3 linked regions of the Oryctolagus cuniculus genome follow. The protein of the gene in region 1 interacts with the protein of each later gene in a pairwise test. Links are inferred from orthologs where the notes say so. Each region holds a gene or a part of one and is shown in the gene's direction. Other genes may lie near its edges.

Region 1 (10,200 bases):
TCCCTCTCACTCCTTAGCCCCTGCTCCTCCCGATGCTCAATTCGCCCCTCCTCTCCTCCCCCACCCTCCTTTCTCCTTTTTCTTTCTAAAGGCTGCGCCTGCCTGGAGGGGAGGGGGTGTGTGGAGTCGGAGTCCTCTCTACTCTTTCTGGACAAGAACAGATGGCCACTGGTGGTTGGCAGGGGCTTGTGATTGGGAGGCAAGCAAAAGGTTGGGAGGGGGCCGAAAGGCCGAAGTGGCTGGGAGCATTTCCGGGAAAGGACAGGACCCAAGGAGCCCACCTCCAGAGGAGGAGGAAAGGGAGGAACAGAGTGCAAGAGGGTGACCCGGGCAGGGAGAAGGAGAAAACAGGGGAGGTGATGTCAGCCAGCCTCAGGCCACTTTCCGGGGACTGGGGACAAAGGGAGGAGACAGCTGGCATGATGGGACAGTGGGCGGAGGACTCCCAAGGCGGCTGTGGCCCGCTGCCACCCCACATGAAGCCAGCTTTCCCGGCTTAAGTCAGCTGGGGCCCCAGGATGGGGTGGAGCAAGGGTGGCCACACCCATCATCAATCAGTCTATCAGCAGCTCTGGTCTGGGCTCCTGCAAGGCCCAGAGGTGTGGCCCCATTGGACAGAATTCAAACCTAGCGCAGGGAGGAGCTCCCCACAGCCACACCTCGGCGCTCTGCCGTCTGAACCCGGGCAACGCTGGCCCCTCGGCAGTCTTCCCTAGGCCCCACTGGGAATTCCCAGGGAAGGGAGGCTGCCACCTGCTCTCTGCCCGCCTCTGTGCAGGGACTCAGAAGGAGACTTGTGAGAAAGCACGGAGCCGCCCCCAGTGCCTCCCGTGGCCCCTCCTCAGACCGGGCTCTGTTTAGTTCCTCAGTCTGTGTGATGGCTCAGGGCTGTGAAGGGGTGGCCCTCTGGGGGCCTCTGACCTGGAGACGTAGGCTCAGGGGTCAGCTAGTCAGCTCTGCAGTCCCAGAAGGCAGCTCCCTCTTTCTTTCTATTTTTTCTTTTTTAAAGGCAGGGACTCTGTTAATCCAACTTACAGAATCCTGATAGCATCTAGTATTTCTTCTTCTTTTTTTTTTTTTTTTTTTTTTTTTTTTTTTTTGACAGGCAGAGTGGACAGTGAGAGAGAGAGACAGAGAGAAAGGTCTTCCTTTGCCGTTGGTTCACCCTCCAATGGCCGCCGCGGCCGGCGCACCGCGCTGATCCGATGGCAGGAGCCAGGAGCCAGGTGCTTTTCCTGGTCTCCCATGGGGTGCAGGGCCCAAGCACCTGGGCCATCCTCCACTGCACTCCCTGGCCACAGCAGAGAGCTGGCCTGGAAGAGGGGCAACCGGGACAGAATCCGGCGCCCCGACCGGGACTAGAACCCGGTGTGCTGGCGCTGCTAGGTGGAGGATTAGCCTAGTGAGCCGCGGCGCCGGCCCCATCTAGTATTTCTTGAGCATTCGTGATGGGCTCGTGCTAAGCTTTGTTGTGATTTTGGACACATCACCTCGTCCAGGCCTGACAGCCTCATGAGGCTAGTGCCGTTCCTCGCCAACAATAGATGCTCGGGGATGGAGATGGATACGGGATCCTACAGAGGACACTGGTGCTCAGAAAGGTTACACAACCTGGCCAAAGGCACCCAGCTCAACAGGGGCAGAGCTGGGACTCAACCCCGGGTCTGCCTGCCTCGAGAACTGTGTTTTTAACCCCTTGACTAGAGCCAAAAGCCCTGATTTATAATTAGTTGGAAAAGTGCAGAGCAAACCGGGAATTTGTGTCATCTGGTTAGCACGCCTTTTTGCAGTGGGACAACACCAAGAGACTGCGAGAAGGGGCTTTGGTGAGTTTGGAACCAGTCAGGAGCAGTCAGTTTGATGGTAAAACCCCCATCAAGAGCCGGGGGTTAAACCGTCCACCAGAGGGAGGCAGTGGCCAGGAGGAACAGGCGCCCCTGCCTGGGGCAGCCTGCCGAGATCCCTAGCTTGAGATTTTTTACTGAATGAGTCCATGCAGCTGCTGGCCGGCAGTGCCCTCTAGCCCCGCTGTGGAAGCCGCCACTGCCAGGGGTGCTCCCAGCAGGCTCGGCCGTTCAGCAGGCATAACTGCAGCTGACGCTGAGTTGACGCGCTGAGTCCTTTCAGCTTGAGTCTATACAAGGACCCCCTGGACAGAGCGCTGGGAAGGGTGACAGCAAAAGGAAGCTGGATCGAAGGCAGGCTTCGCATGCACTTGGCTCAGCTTTGCGCCACGCCCTCTCTATACCCTGGTACATCTGTCATTGCGGGGAGGCCCTAGAGTGAGAGACTGAGAGAGTGCAGGTTCGCAGTTAAACAGCCTGAGGTTCGAATCGTGCATTGCCAGCTGTGCCAGCTGTATGCCATTTCCCAGGGTGGGGTAGTGATGGCTCGTCCCACAGTGGCCATTGTGAGAATGAAATGGGATGAGCTGAGCAATGCCAAGACTTGCACGGTGTCTAAAGAAATCTTTTCCACTTTGCATCTGTGACTTATTCCCCAGGCTGGAGTCCTCAGTGGAGAACGCTCAGCTGCTCTGGCCAGACGAAGCAGGCTCATGAGCATGTGGCATGCTCAGTCTGCCAGTCCCTGCACACATGCCCATATACTCACACAAGCACACACTTCTCTCCATGGCAACCTCCGCCTCTTCTGGTAGAGCCCTATTCGCTGAGACTGACAACAAAACACTTGCTTCGCTTTCTGTTTTCTTTCTTATTATGCCTCAGCACTACGTCTGCACCGGGCTTCCCAGTCTCCAAGGGGTCTCTGCAGCTGCTTCAGGAACCCTTTTGTTTGGGAGGCATGATGGCTGGGGGACTCGGGGAAGGCAGAGGAGATTCAGGGCACGGAGGGGACTTGGCAGGACTTGATCATGTGCTTTGGAAGAAATTCACTCAGCAGAAGTGTCCGGGGTGGGTCTCTGTGGCAGAAGCCGAGAAAGACAGCAGTCCTACGTAGGAGCAGAGACTGATGGTGAAAAAGTCAGTCGATGAACAATGTGACACGTTATGAAGGAAACGAGGGGTGGAGGCAGACACAGCTGGAATAGAGACAAGAGTGGAGAAAAGGGCTCTTGGAGAAGGAGACATCCTAAACAGAACAGGAGGATGACAAAAAGCCAGATCAACAGCCAATGGAAGAATATTCTGGGTACAGGAAACATCAAGTGCAAAGGCCCTGAGGCAGGAAAAAACCTTGTGTAGTTGAAGGAATAGAAAGCAAGAGGAAGGACACAGGTGATGAACCAGAGACAGGGCAGGCCCAGTCGGGAGTTCATATTTTTAGCTGGAGGGGAATGGGGAATTCGAAATTTGCAGGGTCTTGAGCAGGGGGTGACATAAGCCGCTGTGTGTGAGAAGACCCCTCTCCTCATTCCGCCCTCATCCCCCAGGCCCAGCTGGCCAGGGCATTATACGACAACACGGCCGAGTCCCCCCAGGAGCTGTCCTTCCGCCGAGGGGACGTTCTGCGAGTGCTGCAGAGGGAGGGCGCCGGCGGGCTGGACGGCTGGTGCCTCTGCTCCCTGCACGGCCAGCAGGGCATCGTGCCTGCCAACAGAGTGAAGCTCCTTCCTGCCGGGCCAGCACCCAAGCCCAGCCTCTCCGCAGCACCCCAAGCCCCACAGCCCAGCAAAGAGGACCAGGAGGTGAGAGTGGGGAGCCATCCCAGCCCCAGCCAGGACAGCCCTGTTCTCTCCCCGGCTCTGTGTTGCCTGGAGTCTGTCCCCACCCTCTCTGAGCCACTGCTGTCGGAGTTCCCTCATCCGAAACTCTTCCTCTCCCACCCACTTTTCCTCATCCCCAGGTGTACGTGGTGCCACCCCCAGCCCGACCCTGTCCTGCCCCGGGGCCTCTGACTGCACCTTGCCCACCTTCCCCTGACTCCATCTACAAGGTCCCCAGAGGCAGCGCAACCCAGCTGGCCGCCCCAGGAGACGCCTTGGAGGTGAGAGCCAGGGCCCACGTGTATTGGGATGGGGTGTGTCCTGGGGGGAGCGGTCCCTCCCTAAGCTGGAGAGTGACTCCCGGCTTCCTCCCTGCAGGTCTATGATGTGCCCCCCACCGCCCTCCGTGTGCCTTCCAGCAGCCCCTACGACTCGCCGGCCTCTTTCTCCCGCCTTCTGGCCCGGGGTGCCCCCCAGCCCACTGGAGAGGAGGAAGCCCCCTATGATGTGCCGCTGGCCCCGAAGTCACCAACAGAGCTGGAGCCCGACCTAGAGTGGGAGGGGGGCCGAGAACCCGGGCCCCCCCTCTACACTGCACCGTCCAACCTGAAGCGGGCCTCAGCGCTCCTCAACCTGTACGAAGCACCCGAGGAACTGCTGACAGACGGGGAGGGCGGAGGCACCGATGAGGGCATTTATGATGTGCCCCTGCTGGGGCCCGAGCCACCTCCTTCTCCAGAGCCCCCAGGAGCCTCGGCCTCCAAAGACCTGGACACCTTGTCCCAGCTTCTGCCCAGAAGCCCCCCACCCCAACACAGGCCCCGGCTGCCCTCCGCCGAGAGCTTGTCCCGCCGCCCTCTGCCCGCCCTGCCTGTCCCAGAGGCCCCCAGCCCCTCTCCAGCTCCCTCTCCTGCCCCAGGCCGCAAGGGCAGCATCCAGGACCGGCCCCTGCCTCCACCCCCACCCCGCCTGCCTGGCTACGGGGGCCCCAAGATGGAGGGGGACCCAGAGGGTGGGGAGGTGGAGGACGACCCCACAGGACCCCACAACGAGTATGAGGGCATCCCGATGGCCGAGGAGTATGACTACGTCCACCTGAAGGTGAGCTCTTAGGCAGCCCCATGAGAGCCCCAGGTGACTTGTGCAGAGAGAAGCGGGCCAGCCACGGAGGCAGAGCCTCCCTGCCTCCCTGTCCCCCAGCCCTGGGACCCTGCTGCTTGGCCTGGTGCCCCACTCCTTCCCTAAACCTAGCCTGGGGCCACCAGGGCTCACAAACCTGGAGTCCAGGGACAAAGCACTGGCAGGAAGGCAGAGGGGTGGAGAGGCCATGCAGGCCACACTGCCCTGCTCCCCACTTCTGCACTGAGGCCGGCTCCCCTCTGCAGGGCATGGATAAAGCTCAGGGATCCAGGCCCCAAGATAAGGCCTTCCCAGGGGAGCCTGAACTGCTGGAGAGGGAGCTGCCGGAGAAGCAGGTAACCCTGGGGGGCGAGGTGGAGTGGGGGGCTGGGGAGACGGGGAAGGAGAAGCAGGCACTTGGGAGGAGCGTCTGCAGCTGAGCCATCAGGGAGTTGATTAGACTGGAGGTGAGCGTTCGCGTGAAGCAGGGAGTGGAGAGGAGTCAGAATCCGACAGGAAAGAGCTGGAACTTGGAAAAGGATATCAGGAATTCAGAAAGAGGGGAAAGAATGCGCTGGAGAGGAGTCAGGAGACCAGGCAGCCAGGGGAGCTGAAAGACTTTCTGGGCTGCGGGTCAGAGCCGGGCTCGTTTCAGTGTGGATTCTTGGGTTCCTAAGAGACCTGGCTCCTAATCCCGGCTCCACCGCTGAGAAGCCTGCGGCTCTGGAGCTGTCAGTTAATTTTGCTGGGCCTCGGGAAAGCGAGGTGCATTCCTTGACCCTGTGTCCAGTGGTCGGAACACAACAGCTGCCATTGACCGGGTATTTACCGATGGTGCGCACCAGCACAGATTGATAGCGATCCCTCCTGTGGTGTGTGCTGTGTGCAGTGGCAAGCGCTGAACTCTTGCTGCGTATTATCTCATTGCAGTAGGGCTGTGAATGGAAAACGCACACCAGATTATGAGCTTCCCTATGGGGAAGACCCCCTAATTTTCATTTTGGTTGCATGTTGAAAGGAGAGCATTTTCTGGCCGGCGCCATGGCTCACTTGGCTAATCCTCCACCTGTGGCGCCAGCAGCCCGGGTTCTAGTCCCAGTTGGGGCGCCAGATTCTGTCCCGGTTGCTCCTCTTCCAGTCCAGCTCTCTGCTATGGCCCGGGAGGGCAGTGGAGGTTGGCCCAAGTCCTTGGGTCCTGCACCTGCATGGGAGACCAGGAGGAAGCACCTGGCTCCTGGCTTCGGATCGGCGCAGTGCGCCGGCAGTAGCAACCATTTAGGGGATGAACCAACGGAAGGAAGACCTTTCTCTCTGTCTCTCTCTCTCACTGTCTATAACTCTACCTGTAAAATTAAAAAAAAAAAAAAAAAAAGGAGAGCATTTCCTTACACTTGGAGTTGGATAAAACACGCTCATTTCTTTTCAGTTTTCTTAAAGGGGCTGCTAGGAAGTTCGCAGTGTCTCCGTGCTTCATGTTACATTGAGCAGTGCAGGACTCGACTCCCAGGAGAGAAGGAAACAAGCTCAGAGGTTTTGTCTGAAGTTCAGGTTGAGGTTCTTTGAACACAGCTCTCTCTGACATCAAGCCTGGATTCTAAGAATCTAAGTTTCCTGATGGGCTGAGCTACGAGCTAAAGGGATACCCTATGGGAGACAGGAAGGAAGAAAGGGAAGAGGGAAGGAGAAAGGGAGCAGCGGAGAGAACAGGCACTGACCACGCCTCTCACCCCGCAGGAGGCCCCGTGCCCAGGGGAGCCACTGGCTCTGTCCCCTGCAGATCTCCAGCTGCTGCAGTTCTACGCAGGCCAGTGCCAGAGCCACTTCTCCGCGCTGCAGACGGCGGTGGCGGCCCTGATGCGCAGCACCCAGGCCAACCAGCCGCCGCGCCTCTTCGTGCCTCACAGCAAGCGGGTGCTGGTGGCCGCCCACCGCCTGGTGTTTGTGGGGGACACCCTGGGCCGCCTGGCGGCCTCTGCACCTCTGCGAGGACAGGTTGGGGCTGCAGGTACAGCGCTGGGCCAGGCCTTGCGGGCCACCGTCCTGGCCGTCAAGGGGGCTGCCCTGGGCTACCCCTCTGGCCCTGCCGTCCAAGAGATGGCGCAGTGCGTGGCAGAGCTGGCAGGGCAGGCCCTGCGATTCACCACTCTGCTCACCAGCCTGGCCCCCTGAGGACCCCTCGGCACCTCCCGGCCTGCAGAGCTCCTCCAGGTCCTGGGGGGGGTGCTCTGTGCTAGGGGCCAGGAGAGTGGAGGTATCTTTCCTGCCCCTTCTCGCCATCTCAGCCTCTCAAAGGCGTCTGTTGCTCCCCTCACCTGCAGCTTTTTGTACGAGCCATTTTGTATAAATTATTTATATTTAATATGATCCCCTGCTTCGTCAGGGGCAGGCACCAGGCCCTATGGGCAGGGAGGAGCTGGCCTCTCGAGCCCTCAGCCGGCGGTGGAGGTTGCTGTCCTGCCACCTGCCTCTGGAAGTTCAGCAGGCCACACAGTCTCGTGGCCGAAACCCGTGGCTACTCAGCTGTCCAGCATCGGTGCCTCCGGGTTAGGGAGCAAGGGCTGGACGCGGAGTCCCCAGAATGAAAGTCTGGGAGAGATCCCAGCGCCCCTCCCTGCTGAAGGCAGGAGGACCGGGCCTCTGGCGGATGCTCTTCAATAAACTCTGCTGTCTGACTCCCTGACTCTGCTTCTTGGGAGCCTGGGAGGTGGGCCCGGCAGCCCTCAGCCATGCCTGTAGGACACACAAACCTGGGGGACTTTGGCTTGCTTCTTCAGCAACTTTTCATTCCCGTGATGCACCAGGCCTGGTTCTCAGGTGTGTGGTGAGTGGGCCATGCTGGTGAGGATGGCCTAGATAGCAATAAGTCTGTTAAAAGAAGCACATGAAAACTCAACCGACCCCAGATTGGAGCGGCACTGGTGACTGGGAGCAATAGGATGAAGTGAAGAGACCACCTCGGGGAGGACGGAGGCCAGTGAGGGAGACTTCAGACTGTGGATGCTGACTCAGAGGGGACACAGCCCAGAGCGGCCGAGGACTAGGGTCCCAGGAAGCAGACACCGCTGGCTGACATGGAGGCCTTCCCCCAGGACTTCTTGTTTTAGGTGCAGATGGGGACAGGCTGCACACACAAGACCCTCCAAAAATGCTGCCCTGCAGAGGTCACCTGCACCAACAGCCTCTTAGCTCCACACTGTAGGCAACCCGGCTGCCTCCTCAGCTGGCCCAGGAGAAACTAGCCCCTTAGTGGCCACTTCCTGCTGGCCGTCTCAGACAAACCATCTTTCAGAGGGGCTGAGGCAGGAGACCCGTGCAAGGTGTCAGCTGTCCAGGGGCCTCAGGACTTGGGTGACATTGGTGAATCTATGGCTTAGCTGGGCGGGGGAGGAGGGCCACTCCAAGAGGAACAAGGTCTAAGCCATGGACCCACTCTTTGTCTTCCCTAGATAAACAGATTAGGGGCACCCCAATTTCAATCCCAGTCTTAGTCTCTGGGCAGCCTGATGCATCTCCTTTCTCATTTCCCTGGCAAAGGAAAACCCATTTGCCATACCCTGGGGCCAACAGAATTCGTGGCTATGCGTTGAAGGCCATCCTCCATCATCTTCCAAACAATTTCAAGCACTTAGCTTGGAGTCAGGTCTCAGTTCACATCTCAGGTCTGCCGTGTACTTCTGTATCTGTGGATGATTGTGCCGGTCCATCCATGTCCTGGTCTCAGCTTTAATAATGGTTTTCAGGGGCTGGCATGGCACAGCCCAGTTGAGTCCTAGCTGTTCTGTTTCTGGTGTAGCTTCCTGCTAATGCACCTGGGAAAGCAGAAGGTGGCCTGAATACTTGGACCCTTGCCACCCACATGGGTGACCCAGCCCTAGCTTTTGCAGCTCTTTGGGGAGTGAACCAGTGAAGAAATCTCTCTGTTGATCTGCCTTTCCATAAAATCTATTTATTTATTTATTTAAGAGGTAGAGTAACGGAGAAAGCTGGTTCACTCCCTAAATACAGCAACAGCTGCAGCTGGACCAACCCAAAGCCAGGAGCCAAGAGCTTCTTCTGGGTCTCCCATGTGGGTGCAGGGACCCAAGCATTTGGACTGTCTCCCATTGCTTTCCCAGTCCATTAGCAGAGAGCTGGATCGGAAGAGGAGCAGCCAAGACATGAACTGGCGCCACAGGCAAAGGCTTAACCTACTACACGACAGCGCCGTGCCCAATAAAATATTTTTTAATATGGTTTTACACGGTTGGTACAAAGACTTAACACAATACTGCATATGAGCCACCTGGTACCACGTAAAAGTCAGGGATTATCTTCCAGGACAGGTAGAATGATGCAGAAAAACGAATTCCCAGGGAACGTTACTGAAATAAATCCCAAAGAGATGCTGCAATGCATTCAAGGAGGGGAAATGCTGGGAGGCAGTTTGATGCATTAGGAGAAAAAAAAAAGTTTCTCCTATTCGGGAAACTTCTCAACAGAGGAGACAAGCTGATGCTGTGGGTCAGTGTAGAAGAGCTGGGTGGACTGCTCGGCTTAGATTGACACGACTCCCATTGCCAGCCCTCACCTGGCATGAGAGCAGAATGTACCTCTCAGGTACCAGGTCCCCCAGAGAAGTGCGTACACGCACCCATGAACACTGCACCCGAGTCTCAGGGGAGTGTTCTGCACTTCCAACAAGGTCATAAAGATGCTGCCGGCCATGAGCCAACTGTGAGCAGCAATTCGAAGGGTTATGGATAGATTCTCTGCAGTGAAGATGCTTGAGCTGACAGCTGAAGGATGAGGAAGATTTGGCCAAGAAGCCTGGTAGGCATAAGAGCTAGGTGAGGATGGGCGTTTGGCACAGCACCGAAGATATCACTCAGGGTGCCCATATCCCCAGTGAGAATACCTGGGTTCCAATCTCAGCTCCGGCTCCAACTCCTGATTCCTGATAGGGCACACCCTGGGAGGCATCAGGCGATGGCACAAGTACATGTACCTGCCACCCATGTGGGAGACCTGGTTTGAGTTCTGGGCTCCTGGCTTCAGCCTGGCCCATCCCTGGCTGTTGCAGGCATTTGGGGAGTAAACCAGTGGGTGGAAAATACTTCTTTCTCTCTGCCCTTCAAATAAAGTATTTTTTTTTTTAAAGAACCAGGTCTTGCAAAGGTCCTGTAACGTAGGAAAGACTGGGGGAAAGGTCAGTGTGGCTCTAGTGTAGAGAACTAGAAGAGTGAGATGGAGCTGCAGAGAGCCTGTGCCCAGGTGTGCAGGACCACGTGTGCAGCCTCTTGAATGTTAATATTTAGCTTGATGGTGAGGAGAAGCCGCTGCAGGCAGGGAAGCAGGAAAGGGACGTGATCCGATCTGCATCGTGAAAAGACTGTTCCACTTGCACTGCACTATAAATAACAGATGATGGGAAGTGG
Region 2 (10,031 bases), on another chromosome or scaffold:
GAAGCGGGAGAGCGTGGGGGACCCTCTGCAGCCAGGGGGAGCAGGGTGCTGGCCCTGGAGCCAGGGCCTGGCTCCCCACTCTGCCCCGACCTTCTGTGTGACCGGCTCCAGCCCTTCCTCCTCCTGGGGCTTTTGTACCTGTTCCCTGGGAGGGCGCATCCGATGGTCAGGGGGAGGGGGTGGGCGGCCCAGATGGCCGAGTCCCCGCGCCGGGGCCGCCGCTCACGGCTGCCGCTGTCTGTCCACAGCGCGTCTCCGGCCCACCCTCGGGACTCCATCCGCAACTGCGCCCTGAGCATGGACCAGATCCCGGACCTGCACTCGCCCATGTCTCCCATCTCCGAGAGCCCCAGCTCCCCCGCCTACAGCACCGGTAAGGCCGCACTGACGCGCCGGGGGGAGCCTAGCAGCACCGCGATGCCCACGCGTGAGCCACGGACATGGCCTGTTCCTCCAGCCGTGGCTCACGGAGCCCCTACACGGGGGCGGGCAACGTCTCAGCCCCCAGGACAGCCAAGCCCGGCCCTGCCAAGGCCACCGCGGGTGGGACTCAGAGTTCAGTAACCACCGCAGGCTGGCTCCTGAGCTGATCGTCCGTGCGTGGCCTGCGGATGACGTGGTGAATATCCACGTGGCCCTGGGCAGAGAAGGTTCCGGGTGCCAGGCACTTGTGCAGGGGTTCCCAGAGTGTGTTCGGGCATCGGTGAGGCCTGCCAGAGGCCCCGTGTGTTACGGGCTGGGGCCCACGAGCTGCGGAGTGCACTGGGGCGGCTCCTGCCTCACCTGGGGTGGGGGCCTCTGGTGGCTGAGTGTGTCCCCAGTCCCAAGTGGCCGGCTCGGACAGGACTGGCTGGGCTTTGATTTTTTAAAAAAAATATGCTTTGTTCTTTAGAGCAGTTAAAGGTTCCAGCCATGCTGTCCACGTGGCCAGCGAAGCGTCAGGAGCGAGGAGCAGTCCCGAGGTCCCTCTGCCCGGGCTCGGTTGGAGTGTTTCTGTGTGTGTGTGTGTGTGTGTGTGTGTGTGTGTCTGGCCTTCCGGACAGAGTCCCTCCAGCATCCCCCATCGGAGTGCAAGTTCCAGGCCTGGCGCCTCGGCTGCTTTATTTAATTTTTTTTTTTTTTAAGATTTATTGATTGTGAGGGTCTGGCACGGAGGCACAGCAGGTTAAGCCGCGGCCTTTAGTGCCAGCATCCTATATGGGTGCTGATTCGAGTCCTGGCTGCTCTGCCACCGGTCCAGCTCCCTGCTAATGCACCTGGGAAAAGCAGCACAGGGTGGCTCATGTCCCTGGGCCCCTGCACCCATGTGGGAGGCTGGAGGAGGCTCCTGGCTCCTGGCTTCAGCCTGGCACAGCCCTGGCTATTGTGGCCATTTGGGGAGTGAACCAGCGGATGGAAGATCTGTCTGTCTCTCTTTTCTCTCTGTAACTTTGCTTTTCAAATAAAAAAAAAATCAATTTTTTTTGTTAAAGTTTTATTATTTACTTGAAAGTCAGAGTTACACAAAGAAGAAGAGGCAGAGAGAGAGAGACAGAGAGAGGTCTTCCATCCGCTGGTTCACTCCCCAGATGGCTGCAACAGCCAGAGCTGTGCTGATCTGAAGCCAGGAGCCAGGAGCTTCTTCCGGGTCTCCCACATGGGTGCAGGGGCCCAAGGACTTGGACCATCTTCTGCTGCTTTCCCAGGCCCCAGCAGAGAGCTGGATGGGAAGTGGAGCAGCCGGGACTCAAAACAGCGCCCAAATGGGATGCCGGCACTGCAGGCGGCGGCTCCACCCTCTATGCCACAGTGCTGGCCCCATAAATCAATCTTTAAAAATTTTATTTTATTTGAAAAGCAGAGTTGCAGAGAGAGGGGGAAAGAGAGAGAGGGGGAAAAAGAGAGAGAGAGAGCGAGAGCAAGAGCGAGAGAGCGCGCGCTTCCATTCACTGGTTCATTCCCCAGATGGCCGCAAGGGGTCAGCAACTTCCTCTGGGTCTCCCACGTGGGTGCAGGGCCCAAACGCCTGGGCTGTCCTCTGCTGCTTCCCAGGCGCATTAGCAGGGAGCTGGATCGGAAGTGGAGCAGCCAGGACTTGAACCGGCGCCCCTGTGGGATGCCGGCGTCACAGGCGGAGGCTTTACTGGCCATGCCACAGCGCCGGCCCCAATTTCTGTCATCTTAACACCCCCGAGGGGGATGAGAGTCCACACAGGCAGCCCTGGGGGACAGGCGAACCCGGTGCAGGGCACAGCCTGAGCCTGCAGGACGTCACAAGGGCTGCTGGCCCCGGCCTCACCCTGGAGGGAGGACGGCGTCCGTCCCGCCGACGCTGCGGTAACGAGTGCTCTCTCTCTGCCCCTCCGCAGTGACCCGCGTCCACGCCGCCCCCGCAGCCCCCTCTGCCACAGCACTGCCTGCCTCCCCCGTCGCCCGGCGCGCCAGTGAGCCCCAGCTGTGTGCAGGAAGCACCCCAAAGCCCCCCGGGGAGCCGGACAAGGGTCCTCACGCCAGCCCCTCGCACAGCCTCTGCAAGGCCTCGCCGTCGCCGTCGCTCAGCGGCTACAGCGACACGGACTGCGGCCACTACTGCCAGCTCCAGCCTCCGGTCCGAAGCAGCAGGGAGTGGGCGGTGCTAGATGCCTCCAGCCGGCAGGCCAGGAACCACGGGGAGAGGCCAAAGGAACTGTCGGGCCACGGGGCCCCTGAGCGGGAGCGGGAGCGGGAGCGGGGTGAGGCGTTCACTGTGCCCGTCGTGGAAGCCACCTCCTCCTTCAGCCCGGCCACTTTCCAGTCCCTGCTGATGCCCAAGGACAACCGGCCCCTGGAGGTGGGCCTCCTGCGCAAGGTGAAGCAGCTGCTGGCCGAGGTGGACGCCCGGACGCTGGCCCGGCACCTCACCAAGGTGGACTGCCTGGTAGGTGCGGGCGGGGGCTGCGCCTCTGGCCCCTGGCTTGGCCCAGGGGTCGGCGGGAGGAGCCTGTGTCTTAACCACTCTCTCCCTCCGGGCCTCCGTGGTCTCCTCTTAAAAGTGCAAACGCCAAGGGATTCTTGCCTCTGACCAGTGCCGGGTTGGCGCTAGAACCAGGCAGCCCCTGAAACGCAGGGCTCTCGGGGGCCGGATGCCCTTGGGGACCCCAAGAGTCCGAGACTGCGCCTGCGGGTCCAGGGACTGGGCAAGGCCCGGCTCCCCGCCCCCACGCCCCCTAGTGGCCAAGTGAGCAGCAGCCGTGGCTCGTGCAGAGCTGGGCCCTCGGTGTGTCGCGGATGGCGCTTGACCATCTGAGGACCCCAGTTTTCTCTGCGCTCCCCTCGACCTTCAGAGGAGCTGGTTGGTTACACTGGTCCCGGAGCTCGGGAGGCAGGAAAGCTGCAGGGTTAGGCCCAGGGTGAGCCGTGGGCAAGCTCATCTGAGCGTCAGGTACTTTTTACAAACATCGTGACATTGATGCCCCATTTCACAGATGGGGAAACTGAGGCGCCCTCCCGCGCTCCGTGCCACAGGGTTAAGTGGTGGAGCTGTGGCGTCCACACACGCCCCCTGGCCGGCTACACCCTCCAATCAAGCTCGGGTCGGCACCAACAGGAAATTAATCAGCGCTCTGGGCGTCCTTGCAGGTTGCTAGGATACTGGGCGTTACCAAGGAGATGCAGACCCTCATGGGAGTCCGCTGGGGCATGGAGCTGCTCACCCTCCCCCACGGACGGCAGCTTCGACGGGACCTGCTGGAGAGGTGAGGCGCTGGCCGGCCGGGACCCGGGGAGCCCGCGGGAGCCCTCGCCCCTCCGGCCGCGCCCCCACCCCGCTGCCCAGTCACGACCGCGTCATCTACAGCTCGGAGCGACCCTGGCTTCCCAAAGCCTAAGTCCGCGGTCGCATCCTTCGGACCAGTGGGCTCGCTGTCCGTCAGCCTCGGCCCCGCCCATCAGTCCCCCGTTCATTCTTAAAACCTCCACCATCAATCACAAACTCCGCCTGGCGGCCTGGTCCCGCCCCAACCTACACCCACCAATCAGAGGCCATCACCCTGGCCGCGCCTCCAATCCTGGGCCACCCGCGCTCCCCGCCCCGCCCCTTCTCCGCCCACCCCGGCCCCGGCCCCGCCCCCTGACCTGGCACTCCGACAGGTTCCACACCATGTCCATCATGCTGGCCGTGGACATCCTGGGCTGCACGGGCTCGGCCGAGGAGCGGGCAGCGCTGCTGCACAAGACCATCCAGCTGGCGGCCGAGCTGCGGGGGACCATGGGCAACATGTTCAGCTTCGCCGCGGTCATGGGCGCCCTGGACATGGCCCAGGTACCGTGGGGTTCGCCCGGCGAGGCTGGAGGAGCCTGGGGCGCGTGCCTTCGCGATGGCCGCGCACGAACCAGGAGGGGCTGGGGGGCTCCGGGCACCGTGGTGAAAGAGCCAGCGTAGAGCTGAGTTCTCCAAGGCTGGCCAGGCCCGCCCCTGCCCTGGGCCCCCGGCCCCCCTACAGACGGACGAGGGGCGCGAGTTGAGAGAGCGCACGCGCGCCCTGCGTGCTCGGCGCAGTGGCAGGTGTCCAGGCAGCCCCGCGAGGCCGTGGTCTCAGGCGGGGCGGGGTGGCAGGCGCAGCGGGCCGGGAGGGCTGCGGGCTCCAGTGGGGCGACCCCGGCCCTCCTCGCCCAGCACGGCAGGGGTCCGGCCCCGCCCCGTCCGTGGGCACGGCAGGGGCGGCGCGGGGCAGTCCGGCCGCCCCGCTGGCCCCTCACAGCGCGGTCTCCCCAGATTGCCCGGCTGGAGCAGACGTGGGTGACCCTGCGCCAGCGGCACACGGAGGGCGCCATCCTGTACGAGAAGCAGCTCAAGCCCTTCCTCCGCAGCCTTAACGAGGGCAAAGGTACCGCTGCCCACCCCCGCGACCGGGAGGCCCCCGCCCCCCCCGCGACCCAGCGGCCCCCGCCCCTCCCCCGCGACCGGGAGGCCCCCCGCCCCCCCCCCCCCGCGACCTGGAGGCCCCGCCTTCCCCCTCCGCGACCCGGCTGCCCCGCCCCCACCTGACCCTCGCCCCCCCCCTCCCCCGCAGAGGGCCCGCCGCTGAGCAGCACCACCTTCCCGCACGTGCTGCCCCTCATCACCCTGCTGGAGTACGACGCGGCGCCGGCCGAGGGCCCCCAGCCCTGGGGCAGCACGGAGCACGGCGTGGAGGTGGTGCTGGCGCACCTGGAGGCCGCGCGCACCGTGGCGCACCACGGGGGCCTGTACCACACCAACGCCGAGGTCAAGCTGCAGGGTGAGTGCGGGGCCCCGCCGGCCTGCCCCGCCGCCCCTCCCCACGCCCCTCGGGACCCCGCCTCTGCCGCCCCCTCCCCACGCCCTGCGGGCCCCGCCTCTGCCGCCCCCTCCCCACGCCCCGCGGGACCCCGCCTCTGCCTCCCACGCCCCGCGGGATCTGCCTCTGCCGCCCCCTCCCCACGCCCCGCGGGACCCCGCCTCTGCCGCCCCCACACCCCTCGGGACCCACCTCTGCCGCCCCTCCCCACGCCCCTCGGGACCCCGCCTCTGCCGCCCCCTCCCCACGCCCCGCGGGATCTGCCTCTGCCGCCCCCACGCCCCGCGGGCCCCGCCTCTGCCTCCCCCTCCCCACGCCCCGCGGGACCCCGCCTCTGCCGCTCCCACGCCCCGCGGGGGGCCCCATGCCTCACCCCTCTGTCCTGCCCGGTCCCCCTCGCCCCTCTGCCCTCTCTCGCTAGTTCAGGGAGCCGTTGTTAGCGGCAGGGGCCAGGTGAGGGTCAGAGCCCTTGGCTGTCCCTGACCTCCGCCAGCCTTGGTGTTCCCGTCTGTGAAGTGGGCCTCCTGGGCCCAGTTTTCAAGGAGCTGGGTCTGGCCAAGACCTAGAACTCCCTCTGCGCAAGAAGCCTCCCACAGCCCCTCTTTTGGTGCTCACTGCGTTATTTAAGTCATAAAAATTCACCAGAGGAAAACTTGGAAATTACAGCTGAGCAAAAATCAGATTAAACAACCGCCCGGAGCAGGGGCTGGTGCCGTGCGCAGGGGGTGAGGCCCTGCCCAGCGGTGCCCGCACCCAGAGGGGCGTCGCTGGAGCCCGGCGGCTCCACTTCCAGTGCAGCTCCCTCTGTGGCCTGGGAAAGCAGCGGAGGGGGCCCGAGTGCCCGGGCCCCGCACCCACACGGGAGACCCGGACGGAGCTCCAGGCTCCTGGCTTCGGCCCGGCCCAGCCCTGGGCACTGCGGCCATTTGAGGGAACCAGTGGCTGGAAGACCTCTCTCTCTGTCCCTCTGCCTTCAAATAAATCCATAAATCCTAAAAAAAAAATTAACCCATAATAACCCAGCAGTAAACGCTGCAAACATTCTAATGTACATCTTCCCCTTTTCTTTTTTCAGAAAAATACATATTTTTATATTTACTTAAAAATATGTATATATATATAATAGAAAACATTTGGAACTTATATAAAGATACAAAGGAAAACACCTAAGATCTCCCCAAAAGTTAACGTCAATCCTTGAATTTCTTGAAAATTACACGGTGCAGAGGGACAGAGCACCCGCTCATCAGGAATCCCGTGGCGCTCTGGGGGGGGGGGCCCTGCGCGTGGGGGCCGGCGGCCGGCGGTGCCCTGACCCCGCACCCCCTCCCTGCAGGGTTCCAGGCCCGGCCCGAGCTCCTGGAGGTGCTCAGCACCGAGTTCCAGATGCGCCTGCTGTGGGGCAGCCAGGGTGCCAGCAACAGCCAGGCCCGGCGCTACGAGACGTTCGACAAGGTCCTCACTGCGCTGTCCCACAAGCTGGAGCCCGCGGTCCGCTCCAGCGAGCTGTGACCCCGGGGACCTTGCCCTCTGCGGCTGCGGGCGGCACCGGGGGGCAGGGCTCAGAGCACCCCAGGGACACTGTGATCAGCCCAAGAATGTTCTGAGTCCAGCGCCAGGACCCCCCTGCACTTCAGGGTCCTGCGTGGACTCTGGGCACCCCCCCCGCACCCTCCCCGGGTCGCCCTCCGGGAGGAACAGGGACCCCTGCCCCAGCTTCTGCTGCTGCTGCTGCCCCCAGACTCCAGTTTGAGCCAGGGGAGCCCCTCACACCGCCTCCCTCCGCTCCAGGCCTCTCCCCTGCCCTGCTGGCACCGGGTTTACCTGTAAATACGTGTACAGAGCCACGTTCTCTTTCATATAATAAACTTTTATGACTTTCTTCTGTCCATCGGGGCCCAGGGTGGGAGGGAGCCTCTCTGGGTTGGGTGCCCGGCAGAGACTCCGCAGCACCGGGGACGTCGCAGACTGAGCCGGGGGCCAGAGCTACGCCAGTGCTGAAGTCATCGCCTGCCCGGGAGGGACCCACAGGCCCGAGGCGGGGGGAACCCCTAATCTGACCCCTTTCCCCCCTTGAGACCCACACGCCGGCTCCCACAAACCCACCACCAAGGACCCAAGGTGCTGGCCGGGGAAGGCTTTTCCGAGTGCAGGGGGCAGCTGCCGGCCCGGATTGGAGCCGGCTGCAGTGGCCGCCCCAGGGCGCACCCCGGATTGGAGCCGGCTGCAGTGGCCGCCCCAGGGCCCTCTGCACTCCCCAAGGGTGGGAGCAGCTACTCTCCTGCAGACTGAGCTGTGGCCCCGGAGTCTGTGTGTGCCTGGATGGGGATGGGAGGGCAGCGCGGGCCGCAGGACTCCGGGGCTCGCCGGGGGCCGCGGCGGGGTGGGGAGGGGCTGTCCGCAGAGTGGGGTCCCCTGGAGCTGGCCCTTCAGCTCCGGCAAGGCTGGCAGGTTGGGATGGGGCCCGGCGCAGCAGCCGGAGTACTAGCGGGTGATGGCTTCTCCCCTTGAGTGCTCCTCTGAGAGAAGGGGGCCATGAGGGAGCTACGTGTCCGGCACGGCCAGCCAGGTCCCGTACCTCGCGAGGGGTCAGTGATGACCGCTCCGGCCAGTGCCGTAGGGCACTAAGGGCACGCTAAGAGCCACCAGTGCGCGCTCTTTCGTCCTTTACAAGGAAGAAAAACAGCGTGGAGTAAGGTTCCGCACCAGTTCTCCCTACAATTGTCACGTCACCCTCCGAGGGCATCATTCTTTCTGAGCCACCACGACGGCACCTTAGTTACGGTGGCTACGGAAACGCGGATTGGGCGGCTCGCGGGCGCCTCCTAGAGGCCGCTTTCCGGTCCTGCTGCGGAACGACGGGGCGGGCCTTTTGAGGAGGGCGGGAGGGAAGCCGGGAGTTGTAGGCTGCGGGGCGTGGCTTCCTCGGAGCGGTGCACGCCGGGAGTTGTAGTTCGAGGGCGGGGCCAGGGTGGCTCCAGGTGGAGCGCGGGCCTCGCCCGGATGGCGGCTGTGACGCGCGGCCGCCGGCCCTGGGGCTCGCTCCTCGGGCTGCTCGGGCTGGTCTCGGCCGCGGCCGCCTCCTGGGACCTGACTTCGCTGCGCTGCAACTTCGGCGACTTTTGTGAATGCGACTTCCGGCCCGACTTCCCGGGTGAGGAGCCGCGGGAGCCGGGCCGGAGGGCGGGGGAGCGTCGGGAGCCCCGGGCTTGCTCCGGGCTTGCTCCGGGCCGGAACAGCTGTGGACCCAGAGGGCCGAACGGCGGGGAGGGACCCGCGGACTCGAGGGTGGCCGAGGCCGGAAGCCTAAGGGGTCCGGACCTGAGGCAGGGAGCCGAGGCGAGGGCCGGGGTGCCCTTTGGGGTCCAGGAGGGCCGCCGGGGTGGCGGGAGCCGTTGGACAGCAGGGGACGGCAGGGGGCGGGAGGCAGCCCCTCATCTAGGACCCTGGAGAACCGCCTGGCGGCTCCCGCAGCGACTCCCAGGGCTCTGTCCACAGCTGGGACAGACGTCTGAGCCCGGTTCCGGCCGGGACGTCCTGCTTGGGCCGCTGCCTTGTGGGGGCGTGTCCTGAGCGCCGCCTCCGCTTCCGTGGCCCTAGGTCTGGAGTGTGACCTGGCCCAGCACCTGGCAGGCCAGCACCTGGCCAGGGCGCTGGTGGTGAAGACGCTGAAGGCGTTCGTGCGGGACCCGGCGCCGAGCAAGCCGCTGGTGCTCTCGCTGCACGGCTGGACGGGCACCGGCAAGTCCTACCTCAGCTCCCTGCTGGCCCGCTACCTCTTCAAGGGGGGCCTCCGCAGCCCCCGGGTGCACCACTTCTCCCCCATCATCCACTTCCCCCACCCCAGCCTCATGGATCGCTACAAGGTACCCGTCGCCTGCGCCGCCCGGAGCCTGGGACAGAGCTGGCCGAGGTCTCTGATTCGCGGGGGGCGGCAGGGTGGCCGCGAGGGGTCGTGTGGGTGCCCGCGTTGCTGCCGGAGCGCGTGGACCACCGCCGTGGCAAACACGGGCTCTTGCTGCTGCTGCTGGCTCCGCCGCTCTGCACCGCTGACGGTGCGGCTGGGAGCGCTCCCGGGGCAGGGAGGAGCAAGGGCCCCAGGAGGAGCCCTGGACAGGGAGGCGGAGGCCGGCATGGCTGTGTGGCCGCGGGCAGCTGTCTGCCTCTCTCTGGCCCCGTGGCACCGTCTGGAAGGCTCTAGTCCCTGGCAGGGGCAGGCCCGGCTGGGGGGGGACGTCGGGGGCGGAGGGGTACCTGCAGCCGCCCTCCAGCTCCCGTCTCTGCCCCCCAGAAGGACCTTAAGAGCTGGGTCCAGGGCAACCTCACTGCCTGTGGCCGCTCTCTCTTCCTCTTCGACGAGATGGACAAGCTGCCCCCGGGCCTGATGGAGGTCCTGCGCCCTTTCCTGGGCCCCTCCTGGGTCGTGTACGGGACCAACTACCGCAAAGCCATCTTCATCTTCATCAGGTGGGCGTGGCCTTGCTGCGGGCGCCGTGGGGGAGGCACCTGGAGGCCCTGCCAGCCCTGCCCGAGCCCCTCCCGCTCTTGGCCGGTGACAGTCACTCTGGGTGGTTGACCGTGACCTCTCAGGGTGCACCTGGGCCGTTCTGTAGGTCCTGACCCCTTGCGGGTTCCCCCGTGGGGCAGCCAGGGGGACATAGGACAAGCACTCCCGTCCTCTGGTCCCTGCTAAGTCTCCTGGCTGTGTCTTCCCTGAGCTCGCTCCTCCTCCTCTGGACGTTGGCACCGGCATCA
Region 3 (10,935 bases), on another chromosome or scaffold:
CAGAACTGGCGTGCTCACTTCCCCGGGCAGGGCGGAGGCGAGAGAACGGAAGGCCATTCCTCTACACCACCCGACCCAGTGATCTGGGTTCATGAGAGTCTCTCGTGGGATGTGCGTACCTGCTGGCATGGTTTGGGCTATGTCAGCTAGGCCTTAATGTGCATTGTTTTAACTGGACCACCGCGTAGAACTGTATCAATTTTTATTGTATACTGAGGGAAATAGAAGGAAAAATACAGTAAATCTGGCTCCCAGCACTTTCATGCATTTTCCCCCTCGTCATTTCCATCTGAAAAAGATTCTTTTCATTCTCAAGCCTCTGAAGCCTCTCCTGTGGTTATGCGGAGTTTAAGAAACGTGGCAAACGCAGTGACTGATCCTGCTCTTGACTTATACCAAGTCTTTTTCTTAAAAAAAAAAAAAAAAAAAAAAAAAAGATTTATTTTTATTGATTTGAAAGTCAGAGTTACAGAGAGAGGGAGGGAGAGACAGAGATCTTCCATCTGAAATGGCTACAGTGTCTAAGACTGGGCCCTGCCAAGCCAGGACCAGGAGCTTCATCCACGTCTCTCCTGTGGGTACAGAGGCCCAAGCTCTTTAGCTATCCTCTGCTGCTTTCCCAGGTGCATTACCAGCGAGCTAAATTGGAAGTGGAACAGCTGGGACTTGAACTGGCATCTTACTCCAAGTCTTGTATCAAGTTTCTCATCTTATCCCACCTTGTCTGCTATTCTTGGTCCTCTGAGACTAAGGCTGTGCTCTGCTTTGTCCAATCTTCCTTTGAAATTCCAAAATTGGAGCAGTCTGGAACCTCAGTCAAACCTGTGCATCCCTGGGGAGCTCCCCAACCCCAGCACTACCTCCTGCAAGCTGCAACAGCCATTCGTTGGCCCTTGCTCTGAGGTTTCCACCAGCTCTACCCTCTGCATAGGTCCTGTCCTCCTAGCACCTGGCAATTCCCAGGCTTCCGCCCCTCTCCAGGAGGGTCTGATCCCCAGACCCTGACCTTTCTACAGCTGTTCTGTTGAGCCTCATTGCCCAAAAAACTCTGAAACCTTGCTTGTGCATTGGAAGCCTTTTACATATGCAGATGCTTGGGTCCTGCCCAGACTAATTAAGTCAACTATATTTGGAGACACTGCTCTATATCACTTTCTGTCCAACGCCAGCAAGCCTACAGGCAGCCTGGGATGTGTTTGAAATGCCAATGTTAATTCAGTCTATCAGGGTGGGGCCTGAGATTTTTGCATTCCTGACAAGATTCCAAGGGATAACTTAACAGTGGTCCATGGATCTTTTCTGTCCCCCACTCCACCCTCCCACCCCTGCCTATCTGAAAGGCAGAGAGATGGAGACACAGAGAGATCTTCCATCTTCTGGTTCACCCTTCAAATGCCCCTGGACTAGGCCAAGATTCAATCTCTTGTCTAATATGTATGGTAGGGACACACATACTTGCACCATTACTTGTTGCCTCCCAGGGTGTAAACAGGAAGCTCGAATGAATCAGAAGCAGATTCCCAATGGCTGACCCAAATACTACCCTCCCCACCCACCCTGCCATCCCAGAAGTTGCTTTTTAAGTGCCAAGGCTCAAGACCAGTGATTTCAAAGTGTGGTCAAAAATAATCTAGAAACTTACCAGATGGGAAACATTTCAGGACCTTCCTCAGACCTCCTGAATCAGCAACTGGGAGGGTATGCTCCAGAAAGCTGTGTTTCTTGAAGTCTTCCAGTGATCAGGGTTCACTGCTGTTTGAGATTCATTGCCTGGGTGGCACTGCCCAATAGAGAGACAGCATAAGCCACATATGTAACTTAAACTTTTCTAGTTGTAACATTTCAAAAAGTAAAAAGAAACAGGTAATATAAATGTTAGCCAAATATCTTACTTGACTCCTTTGTCCAAAATATCACTTCGATATGTAATGAAAATAAAAATATTACTATGAAAATTTACATTTTTTTCACACTCAGTCTCCAAAATCCAGTGTGCATTTCATGCTTGCATGACAATTCAGCTTTGTCTAGCCACACTTTACAGACTCAGTAGCCACACGTGCTCATCATACTGGACAGCATAGCTCTAGAATTGTGACAGTGATAATAATATTAATTTCTATCAAATGTTTGCTGTGTGTCAGGCATTACTCAGTTAAGCATTTTATCTGCATAAGCCCGCTGCGCATTGATGCGATTATTTCCATTTTATACCAAGGTGGGGTTATGCCAAAGCCCTTCCAATGCAGGTATTTCCCAGTGATTTTGCATCAGTTTATTTATGGAAGAAAGAATGAAAGCACATATATGTATATAAATCATTAATATTGAATACAATTGTTAAGACTTCAATTGTATTAGATGAAAGTCGCGGCAGTTGAGTAAGTAGAAAAATGAAACTTTACTATCATCTAACTTTTCAAATATGCCTAAAGGTCAACCTGTACTCTTCTGTGACATCAAGTCTGTTGAAAGGTGCTTATGGACAGGCTGTTTGTACTGACAGGGTCCTGGAGGAATAAAGGAGACCTTGGTGAGTGAGTGGGCAGGCTTCCTAAGTGGAAGCAGCCAGCAAGGTCATCATCACCTGTTGGTTCAAGTGCAGATTTTGACATAATATAACTGACAGGTAAAAGCGAGGCAATAGACTTCCTGTAGGATCGCTGTGGAAAGCAGGCTGCTGGCAATCTAAAAATAATGGCTGACTTAGTGAACAGTTAATCTCATTTGTTTCAAACCACTCATAATTCCTCAAGGAAGGCCTATTTTCAAATGTATTTTCCTGTTTGTTATAAATTATCATAAGAAGGGATACGTAAAAATGATTTAAAAAAAGAAACTGAGGCCAGGTGTTCAATTTTGCCTGCAGAATTGGTGATCAGTATCATGACCAAGTAAAACAAATGTCCTGTTTTAAACTGGAAGGTATTTAACACATATTAAAATGTAACAATTTGAAAGAAATGTACAGAAAAGCTCTTTATTCCACAGTGACTTTTTAAGCCCAGTGTATATATTTAAAACAAACTTTAAATATCTAATCAGAGTTTTTTGAAATATAAACAAGTATTGCGTTTTAATCTTAGTTTAATGTAATAGTTTCAATGTAAGGTGTAGTGAGCTGAAGGATTTCGCTATTTTACCTTAGTACTCAGATTAGTCATGTAACTCTTTTTCTACATGTCATAAAAAATCCTCAGTATTTTATTTAACTAGTTTCAGTGTCTTTCAGTTTTTTTTTCTTTTTAGATTTATTTTATTTAAAAGAGTCACAGGGAGAGAAGAAGAGAGAGAGAGATCTTCCATCAGCTGATTCACTCCCCAGATGGTCACAACAGCTAGGACTGATCTGGGCCAGGCTGAAGCAGGTAGCCTGGAGCTTCATCCGGTTCTCCCACGTGGGTAGAGGGGCCCAGGGACTCAGGCCATCCTCTGCCCACTTTCCCAGGCACATTAGCAGGGAGCTGGGTTGGAAGTGGAGCAGGCAGGACTGGAATGGGCATCCATATGGGATACCTGCACTGCAGGAGGGGCTTAAGCGGCTATGCCGAAACATAGGCCCCAGCTTCTTGCTTTAATGGGGGAGAAAGAAATGAATTTGATATGAGCATCTAATCCCTCATAGTATTAATTATAAAATGTATCAAGGAGATTTTTATGCTGGACCAAGATTAGAGAATTCTTTTCCACTCCTCATGTCAAGCCGTCAGCAGGACTTCCTGACTGAGGGTTCTCTGGTATGGGGAATAAATCCTTTATAAAAATGTGCAAATATTTCCTTGGCAGAGAAACTGATTTTCCTTCATAGTGATGTTGTTTAAAAGGCAATAATGAAACTACAGAAGTAGTTCCGATGTGCATAGAATCCTTTTTCAGACACAGCAGAAAGAGATCTGATGTGGAAAAGAGGCTGAAAAGTGTAGCAAATTCTGTTTTTATTTATTCTCTCTGCATGTGTGTGCTGTGAGCTTCTGATGGCAAGAGCCATTATGTTCTCAGAGTGCATGGGACACAGGAGGCTCAGGAGTGCACACCACACAAATATTTGTTGAATGAATGAATGGATGAATGAATGACTATGACTTCTAGATCTTAGTTGGTAATTCTAGAAGCTACATGAAGACTCAAATCTTGCCAGTCATTGTTGGTAACCTCATCTGAATTATTTCTTCACTGACCTCGTAAGGCAGAAACAGGGGTATCTGCATTGTGTCATTGAATGGTCCCCGGTCTCTGCCAACAGATAAGAAATGTCAACAGCTTAACCCAGTAGCTTTCAAAAATAGCATAGTTGATGAAACTGGAAATTTAGGTGCCAGCTAGAAAGAAACCATTTGTCTTCAGCCTTAAGAAGAATAGACTGACGACAGATAGTCCCATTGGGAGATCAAAAATATTTTTTTAAAATATCAGAAGAAAACTCTTCGTTCTCAGTAAAGCATAAATAAGAGCCTGGTATTTTCAGCCATTCAGGTAAAGCATTGTGCAAACTTGAAGGCTAAGGCAAGGCACTGTGTTCCTTTAAGATTCCAGACTAGTTGGTTTGGTGTTTCCAATCATGCTGGCAGTTTTCCTCAAAATTTAAGGGAATATTTGCACAATGAACCAAGTTGTTGTGGGTTTCCTGGCTGGTGCCCCCCCCCCCCAACACACACCCCCTGCGGGGTGGGGGTGGCGACTCTGGCCAGGCATTTTATCCCATTGCAGACAACTCTGGCTGCTGTTCGTGCTGAAAATAGCTCAAAAGCTCTCTGAACGGTAGCACCACCCAGCAGCTGGGATTCTTTCCCCTCTCTTACTTGCCTTCTCTGCCTTTTTTTTTTTCCTTCAGACGCTTGGTTTGGACTTAATCTTAAACCTCTGGAGTTCAAGACCTTTTAAAAAGGGCTAAATAAACAATCTCTACATGTAAAAGGCCACTGACTCCTACTTCCTCTGTTGAGCCCAACTGTGGAACTCAGCTGCCTGTAGGTAAGGTTTTTATTCTGGAATTATTTAATTGTTTTTCTATCCGCTCATGACCAGTGTTTTCAAAATAACTTAATGATAGTGAAAATAAGGGAGGGATCCGAACGATTTCCAGGTAAATACTGTGTTACAGAGTACAGCAGTAGCATCTGTGCATTTTGTGGCTGTAATTTTAAACTTTGCTTGAAGCTCTCTGTAATATTGACCTGCAATAGACTTGACTTTGACCGAGCGCTGGCTCAGAACTCTAATTAAGCCTCATTGCACAAGATGCAGCCAGAGGGCTTTTCAGACATCATAATTTTGATGTTTAGGCTATGTTCTTGTTTTTAAGGGCATTTAAAAAAAAGATACAAACACCTGACAAAGAAAATAGATTAGTAATAGTTCTTGAAAGACAAAGAGTTATATTATATGTTCTGTTTTCATCTGTTCACTGCAAGGGTGGAATCAAAACAGTTGTTTTGAGGGGGGAGATTGTTTTTAGTTTTTTTTTTAATTGTTTTGTATATCCTTAGCACAATTTATGTGGATCAGTTTTGAGAATTTCTTTCTCAAGCCGAATCTTACCTAAGCTAATCTTTTGCTAGGCACATTTGCTGGTGAGTTTGTCTAATGTGACAATAAAATATTTGGGATAGTTTTCCAAGCCTCCCCTCTCTCCCTTCTTTTGCTTGTACTTCGCATTTTGCAAAGTACTTTGATCTGTGGACTTTAACTTCAAACATAACGTTTACTTTGATTGTGGGTATTTACTATGTTCAGTTAAAAGCCTTTTTTTTCCCCTCTTTCTCAGTTTCATGCTTTGATAGCCTTTCTTTTAAATAATTTACTGGGGCTTTGGTCTTTCTCACTGATGAGCCTTAGATTTTACTTCTGTGGGGACCCTTAACCAAGAGAAAAGGGCTTGCTGGCAAGACTTCTCGCCACTTAGACACTGACAACTCACTGCTCTGCTCCAAGCAGATGTGTGAAAGCAGGCAGCAAGTGACGGCACAGGACCCAGGCTGATTCTGTCAACTTGCATGTCCTGCTTCTCAGAACTCCCATGTGCCTTGCTTGCTGGTTTTTTTTTTTTTTTTTAACATAAACACTGAAATCCCTGAAGCTTAAAGGTTTTTCTTTTCTAAAGGAGTTCATTGCTGTCACAAACCACATGTCCAAAGAACATGCATTTTAAATGCATAGTGATTTTTTGTGTAACCAAAATCTTTTTTAAAAAAGAAAAAAGAAAGCAAAGGAAAATTAAAAAAAAAAAAAAAAAAACTAGCAAACCTCAGTAGCCAAAAGTGTGCTCTACTAGTGGAACTTCTGTGTGAGGGATAAAGAATGAAAAAAAAAAAACCAAAAACCAAATTTCCTAAAATGGGCAAATTATAGCACTTACTAGTCATTCAATCCACTTGGAACTGTTCTCTTATTTTAAGGACAGTTCATGTGTGTTTTACATTTGTTTTCTTTCCTGCCTCAAGCACAGGGCCTTTTCAAAGCCCTCAGTGTGATACTGAAGCGAATGTTGCCCAGTGAAAGTGCGCTCTGCTGAAGGTTAGGAATAGGATTTATCTAATGCTGTCGGGAGACCGTTGAAGTGCCAGTCAGTGACAGTGGCTCCACAGAGCTGTCACAGTCTGCGTCCCATATCCTGCACCTTGCTAGGACAACAGGAAGCAAGTGGCCGGCTGCAGCACACGACTTTGAAAGGGTGGGAACGACGGTGAATGCCATGGAAGAGATTCCTTCTGGGTTAGGGGCTCCTGCAATATGATCCCTGGGCTTCTCCTTAGCATGGAAAAATCCAAGCAGGCATTTGCAGTAGCAGTTAAGACCTCTCTTGAGATGCTCCTACCCCCCATCAGAGTGCCTCAGTTGGAGTCCCAGCTCCTCCTTTGATTCAAGCTTCCTGCCAAGGTGCACCCTGGGAGGCAGCAGTCCATGGCTCTAGTAGTTGGCTCCCTGCTGTGATTGTGGTAGACCTGGATGGAGTTCCTGGCTCTTAGTTTCAGCCTGGTCCAACTCCAGCTGTGGTGGGCATTAGGGGAGTGAACCAGCAGAAGGGAAATCTCTATTTCTTTCCGCGTCTGTCTCTTCAACTAAATTAAATATAAATTTTTAAATGTTTGGAAAACATTTTTATGAATTTTTTTTATTTCTAAAACTTGGCACTTAATGGCTACTTCCCCCCCTTCAAATCTGCACTGGAAAGAGCATATTAATCATCACATTTTCTGTGTATAATCACCATTATAAATCCTTCAGTTATGTTAGGTATGTGCTTTGGGCATATAGAAAGCTCCGTCAGTCCTGGGAACCCCTGGCTCAGCAGTGTGCGGTGTGAATGCAGTGTTGAAGGCACTGCAAGTTCCATTGCCAAATCAAATGGCACAAGGATGGTAGACGGCCACTCCACTGCTCTTTCTTCTCCTGTTTTGTTGCTGTTTTCTTTTCTCTGATACGTGTCACCCCTTTAATTTTAACTCTGAAACTTTGGGTTGTTTGGATGTGAAACTCAAGGGGAAACCCAGCCAAAGCCTCTGAGTTTCACACCGGTCCCACATGAAAGAAGTATTCTACCCAGCCTTGCTCGAAACTTGGCCCATGTTTGCCAAAAGTTTCATGAATGTCAGTGAGCCCGGATTTGAAACATAATCCAAAGCCAGGTGACTTCTGGTGACTTTGAGGCTTCATTGTATAAGTATAGAAGCTGTCAAACAAGGACATTCCTTATTTCCATATCTTTTTACAGTAATTTCATGTGGACACACTTTTTTTTTTTCCTCCAATAAACTCCCATTTGTTCCATGATAGTTTAAGTCCAAGTTCAATCCTAATATGAGTTTTTATAGCTGTGGTATTTAAGCATTGGCAAATAGATGTCTGCATTTTACATTCCAACACAGTCTGAACTACCGTGGTGTGAACATGCTGGCATAATTCAGCTGAAAGAAGGAAGTCCCAGGAGACCCGCGGAATGTCTTTCTGTGCTTAAATATGCCCCTGTGCTCATAAAGAACAAACAGCAGCATTTTGTCCAGGTCTATCTACTTGACACTGTGCCTTTTGTTCACTCTCAAAAGGTGGTGTTAAATATACTGGTGGAAAAATAATAAACTTCTAGATTTTTTTTTTGCCTGTTTTACTGACATACTCTCAGGGAACATTGTAACCATTGCAAAGTTCAGTACTATTACTTGTAATGTAGTGTATACCAAGAATAAATGAGTACTCAGTAGACTCAATTATCCTCAAAATCTGGGCAGCCTAGAGCTGACGTGTGTGTTAACAGTCAGATGGGACGTTGTGAAATGGTGTGTGTGTGTGTGTAGTGTGTATGCATATGTTGGTGGGGGTAGGGACAGGTGGAGAGGAAGAGAGGAGAAGAGAGGATTTGTAAGCTTTTTCAGCAAATCTGTCACATCAAACAAAAATAATCAAGTCGAGGATCTGAAAACATTCTTTTCTCTTGTTGATCATATAAATTTGTGTTGGCCGCACATTGCATTTTTTGGTATTATTTTTCTCATTAAAGACTCCCAAGTATTAGGATTCCAGACATAGTAAATAATACCCAATGAAAATATGACCAATTGGGAGAGACCTAGATAGTTGTAGATGAACTTGCATGAGTCAGTCTCTGAAGGAGCTTCGTCGTCTTCTGGCTGCTGTAAGATGCTAAGTCACCCAGGAAGCTTAGAGTTGATTTGCTATTTTCTTAGTGGGAAGGTTTCTAAACTCTCTTGAAGAATTGTTGTAAAAATGAATTTGTTGCTTCACTAACGCCTTAAACAGACTAAACTTAGTAAGATTTGTAGTCTACACTTATTAGAAAATTAAACTGCTATCAGATTTCATGTTGAAAATTTTATAGTCACTATTCTATTTAATACTATGCACTTTTATTTAAGATACAGTTTTAATTTAGCAAAATGATGATAGTTGGTCCGGTTATTGGATAAAGCATTTGAAAACTAGCAGTAACAAAACCTGGGGTTCCTATTCGTAGGAGCTGTAATTTGGCACCAACTTCACTATTCAAAGAGCAGCATTTATTGGTATATCTGAATTGATGTCCCCAAAGTAAGTATAATCAGCAGAGAAAGGGCAGACGCTTAAATGGAGGTTCTGGAGAATGTAAGCAAAAAACAATTCAGAACCTCCTACAAAGAGATTCTCTCAGACCACAAGTTTATTTGTATTCCAGTGTGAGTTATTGCAGTTATTAAGTTCAACTTTCCTGTTTTGAACACAAAAATATTCTTTTACTTTAAACACAAACTATTTTAGGTCAGAAACAAAATATCCATTGTAATATTTTTGTTTTTTTCATTTTTTAAATTTTATTTAAGTTATACAAGTTTCATGTATTTCATATATACAGATTTAGGAACATAGTGATACTTGCCACCCACTCACACTCCAACCCTTCTTCTTCATCCATCTCCCATTCCCACTCCTAATTTTTACAAAGATCGATTTTCAGTTTACTTAATAATCATACAGTTAACCCTACCCTATGTAAAAAGTTCAACACATAGTATGGAAAAAAAAAAAAAAAACATTGTTCCTCAACAGAAGAGACAAGGCCTATAAACAATCATCAAATCTTAAAGTGTTCATTTCATTCCAAAGCATTATATTTTAGTTACTCTATTAGTTAACTTGGATCACCCAGTATTTTCTTTTAGAACAATTTTAAATTGACAAAAGAATTGTGAAGATAGGACAAGAGTTCTCATGTGTCCCACACAAAGTTTCCCCTATAATTAATATCATACATAGCATATAGTGCCTTTGTTAAAATTAATGGGCCAGTATCTACAAATTGTTATTAAAGTCATAATGAACAGTCATATTTCCCTGATTGTCACCTAATGCCCGTCTTGTGTTCCAGGGTTCTATCTGGAATACCATGTCACATTTAGTCAATTATATCTCCTAAGGCTCCCCTTAGCAGTGACAATTTCCTTTCCTTTTTTTCTTTTCCTTGAGATGGCCTTTGACAATGTGAAGAAATGCTATCAGGTGTTTTGTAGAATGTCCTCCTATTGAAATTTTTCAGAGATTTTTCTAATGATCAGACTGAGGTTATGGGCTTGGGGGTGGAAGACCACAAGAAAAAGTGCCATTCTCATCTTATTATATCAAGGATACACACAGTCAGCATGACAAATCACTATGGATGTTGACTTTGATCACCTGTCTGGGTAGTGTTTGTCAGATTTCTCCACCTACGGAGTTACTTTCTCTTCATTCCCACACTGTACTCTTGTGGAGAAAGCAACTGTGTGCAGCCACATGTTAGGAGTGGGGACTTGTACTCCTCCTCCTTTGGGACAGAGCACAGAGCATTTGCATAAATTATTTAGAATTTTTCTACATGGGAGATTCGTCTATCCCCCCCATTTTCAAAATTCAATCATTTATTCATATCAGTTTGAACACATGGATATTTATTTTGTACTTTGGATTATAATCAAATACTACTTTACTTATTTTGTTATTCAAATTGTTCCAGCTTTGGCCATTCATGAGTAGTTTGTTCGTTCAGTTGAATCCCTTGTCGTTTTGACAAACACCCAATATTTTGAGTTTTTTTTTTTTTTTCTTGGCACTATAAGGTGTAACAGGCTCATTTTGTATAGCTACTGTCTCAGTCTTAAAATTGGCCATTTCTTCAAGAAGCTCTGTTCACTTTTGTTAAAGAAAGGTAGTGGTGGCTGGCGCTATGTCTCATTTGGCTAATCCTCTGCCTGCGGCACTGGAACCCCGGGTTCTAGTCCCGGTTGGGGTGCCAGGTACTAGTCCTGGTTGCTCCTCTTCCAGTCCAGCTCTCTGCTGTGGCCCTGGAGGGCAGAGGAGGATGGCCCAAGTGTTTGGGTCCCTGCACCCTCCCGTCTCTGCATGGGAGACCGGTAGGAAGTACCAGGCTCCTGGCTTTGGATTGGTGCAGCGCCAGCCATAGCAGCCATT

The links.
Region 2: the proteins of EFS (region 1) and SH2D3C interact in a two-hybrid assay, tested with the Homo sapiens proteins (2 studies listed by BioGRID and IntAct). The two-hybrid records come from large-scale screens. The link is inferred for Oryctolagus cuniculus from reciprocal best matches to the Homo sapiens genes EFS and SH2D3C.
Region 3: the proteins of EFS (region 1) and SORBS2 interact in binary tests that used the Homo sapiens proteins (3 or more experiments, as listed by UniProt). The two-hybrid records come from large-scale screens. The link is inferred for Oryctolagus cuniculus from reciprocal best matches to the Homo sapiens genes EFS and SORBS2.

What each region holds. Positions count from the first base shown.
Region 1 is NC_091443.1:51,682,710-51,692,909, forward strand, and holds the end of EFS (embryonal Fyn-associated substrate), read left to right. Parts: intron 1-3,394; coding exon 3,395-3,649; intron 3,650-3,807; coding exon 3,808-3,948; intron 3,949-4,045; coding exon 4,046-4,768; intron 4,769-5,052; coding exon 5,053-5,142; intron 5,143-6,520; coding exon 6,521-6,955; 3' UTR 6,956-7,458; downstream 7,459-10,200. UniProt on the Homo sapiens protein: Docking protein which plays a central coordinating role for tyrosine-kinase-based signaling related to cell adhesion. May serve as an activator of SRC and a downstream effector. Interacts with the SH3 domain of FYN and with CRK, SRC, and YES.
Region 2 is NC_091432.1:231,183,611-231,193,641, reverse strand, and holds the end of SH2D3C (SH2 domain-containing protein 3C), read left to right. Parts: intron 1-248; coding exon 249-373; intron 374-2,348; coding exon 2,349-2,896; intron 2,897-3,597; coding exon 3,598-3,713; intron 3,714-4,107; coding exon 4,108-4,279; intron 4,280-4,732; coding exon 4,733-4,844; intron 4,845-5,030; coding exon 5,031-5,237; intron 5,238-6,612; coding exon 6,613-6,788; 3' UTR 6,789-7,158; downstream 7,159-10,031. Other genes in the region: TOR2A (prosalusin), read left to right, coding at 8,280-8,430, 8,877-9,142, 9,568-9,743. UniProt on the Homo sapiens protein: Acts as an adapter protein that mediates cell signaling pathways involved in cellular functions such as cell adhesion and migration, tissue organization, and the regulation of the immune response.
Region 3 is NC_091433.1:67,761,220-67,772,154, reverse strand, and holds the start of SORBS2 (sorbin and SH3 domain-containing protein 2), read left to right. Parts: upstream 1-4,829; 5' UTR 4,830-4,967; exon of another isoform or gene 4,968-4,971; intron 4,972-10,935. UniProt on the Homo sapiens protein: Adapter protein that plays a role in the assembling of signaling complexes, being a link between ABL kinases and actin cytoskeleton. Can form complex with ABL1 and CBL, thus promoting ubiquitination and degradation of ABL1.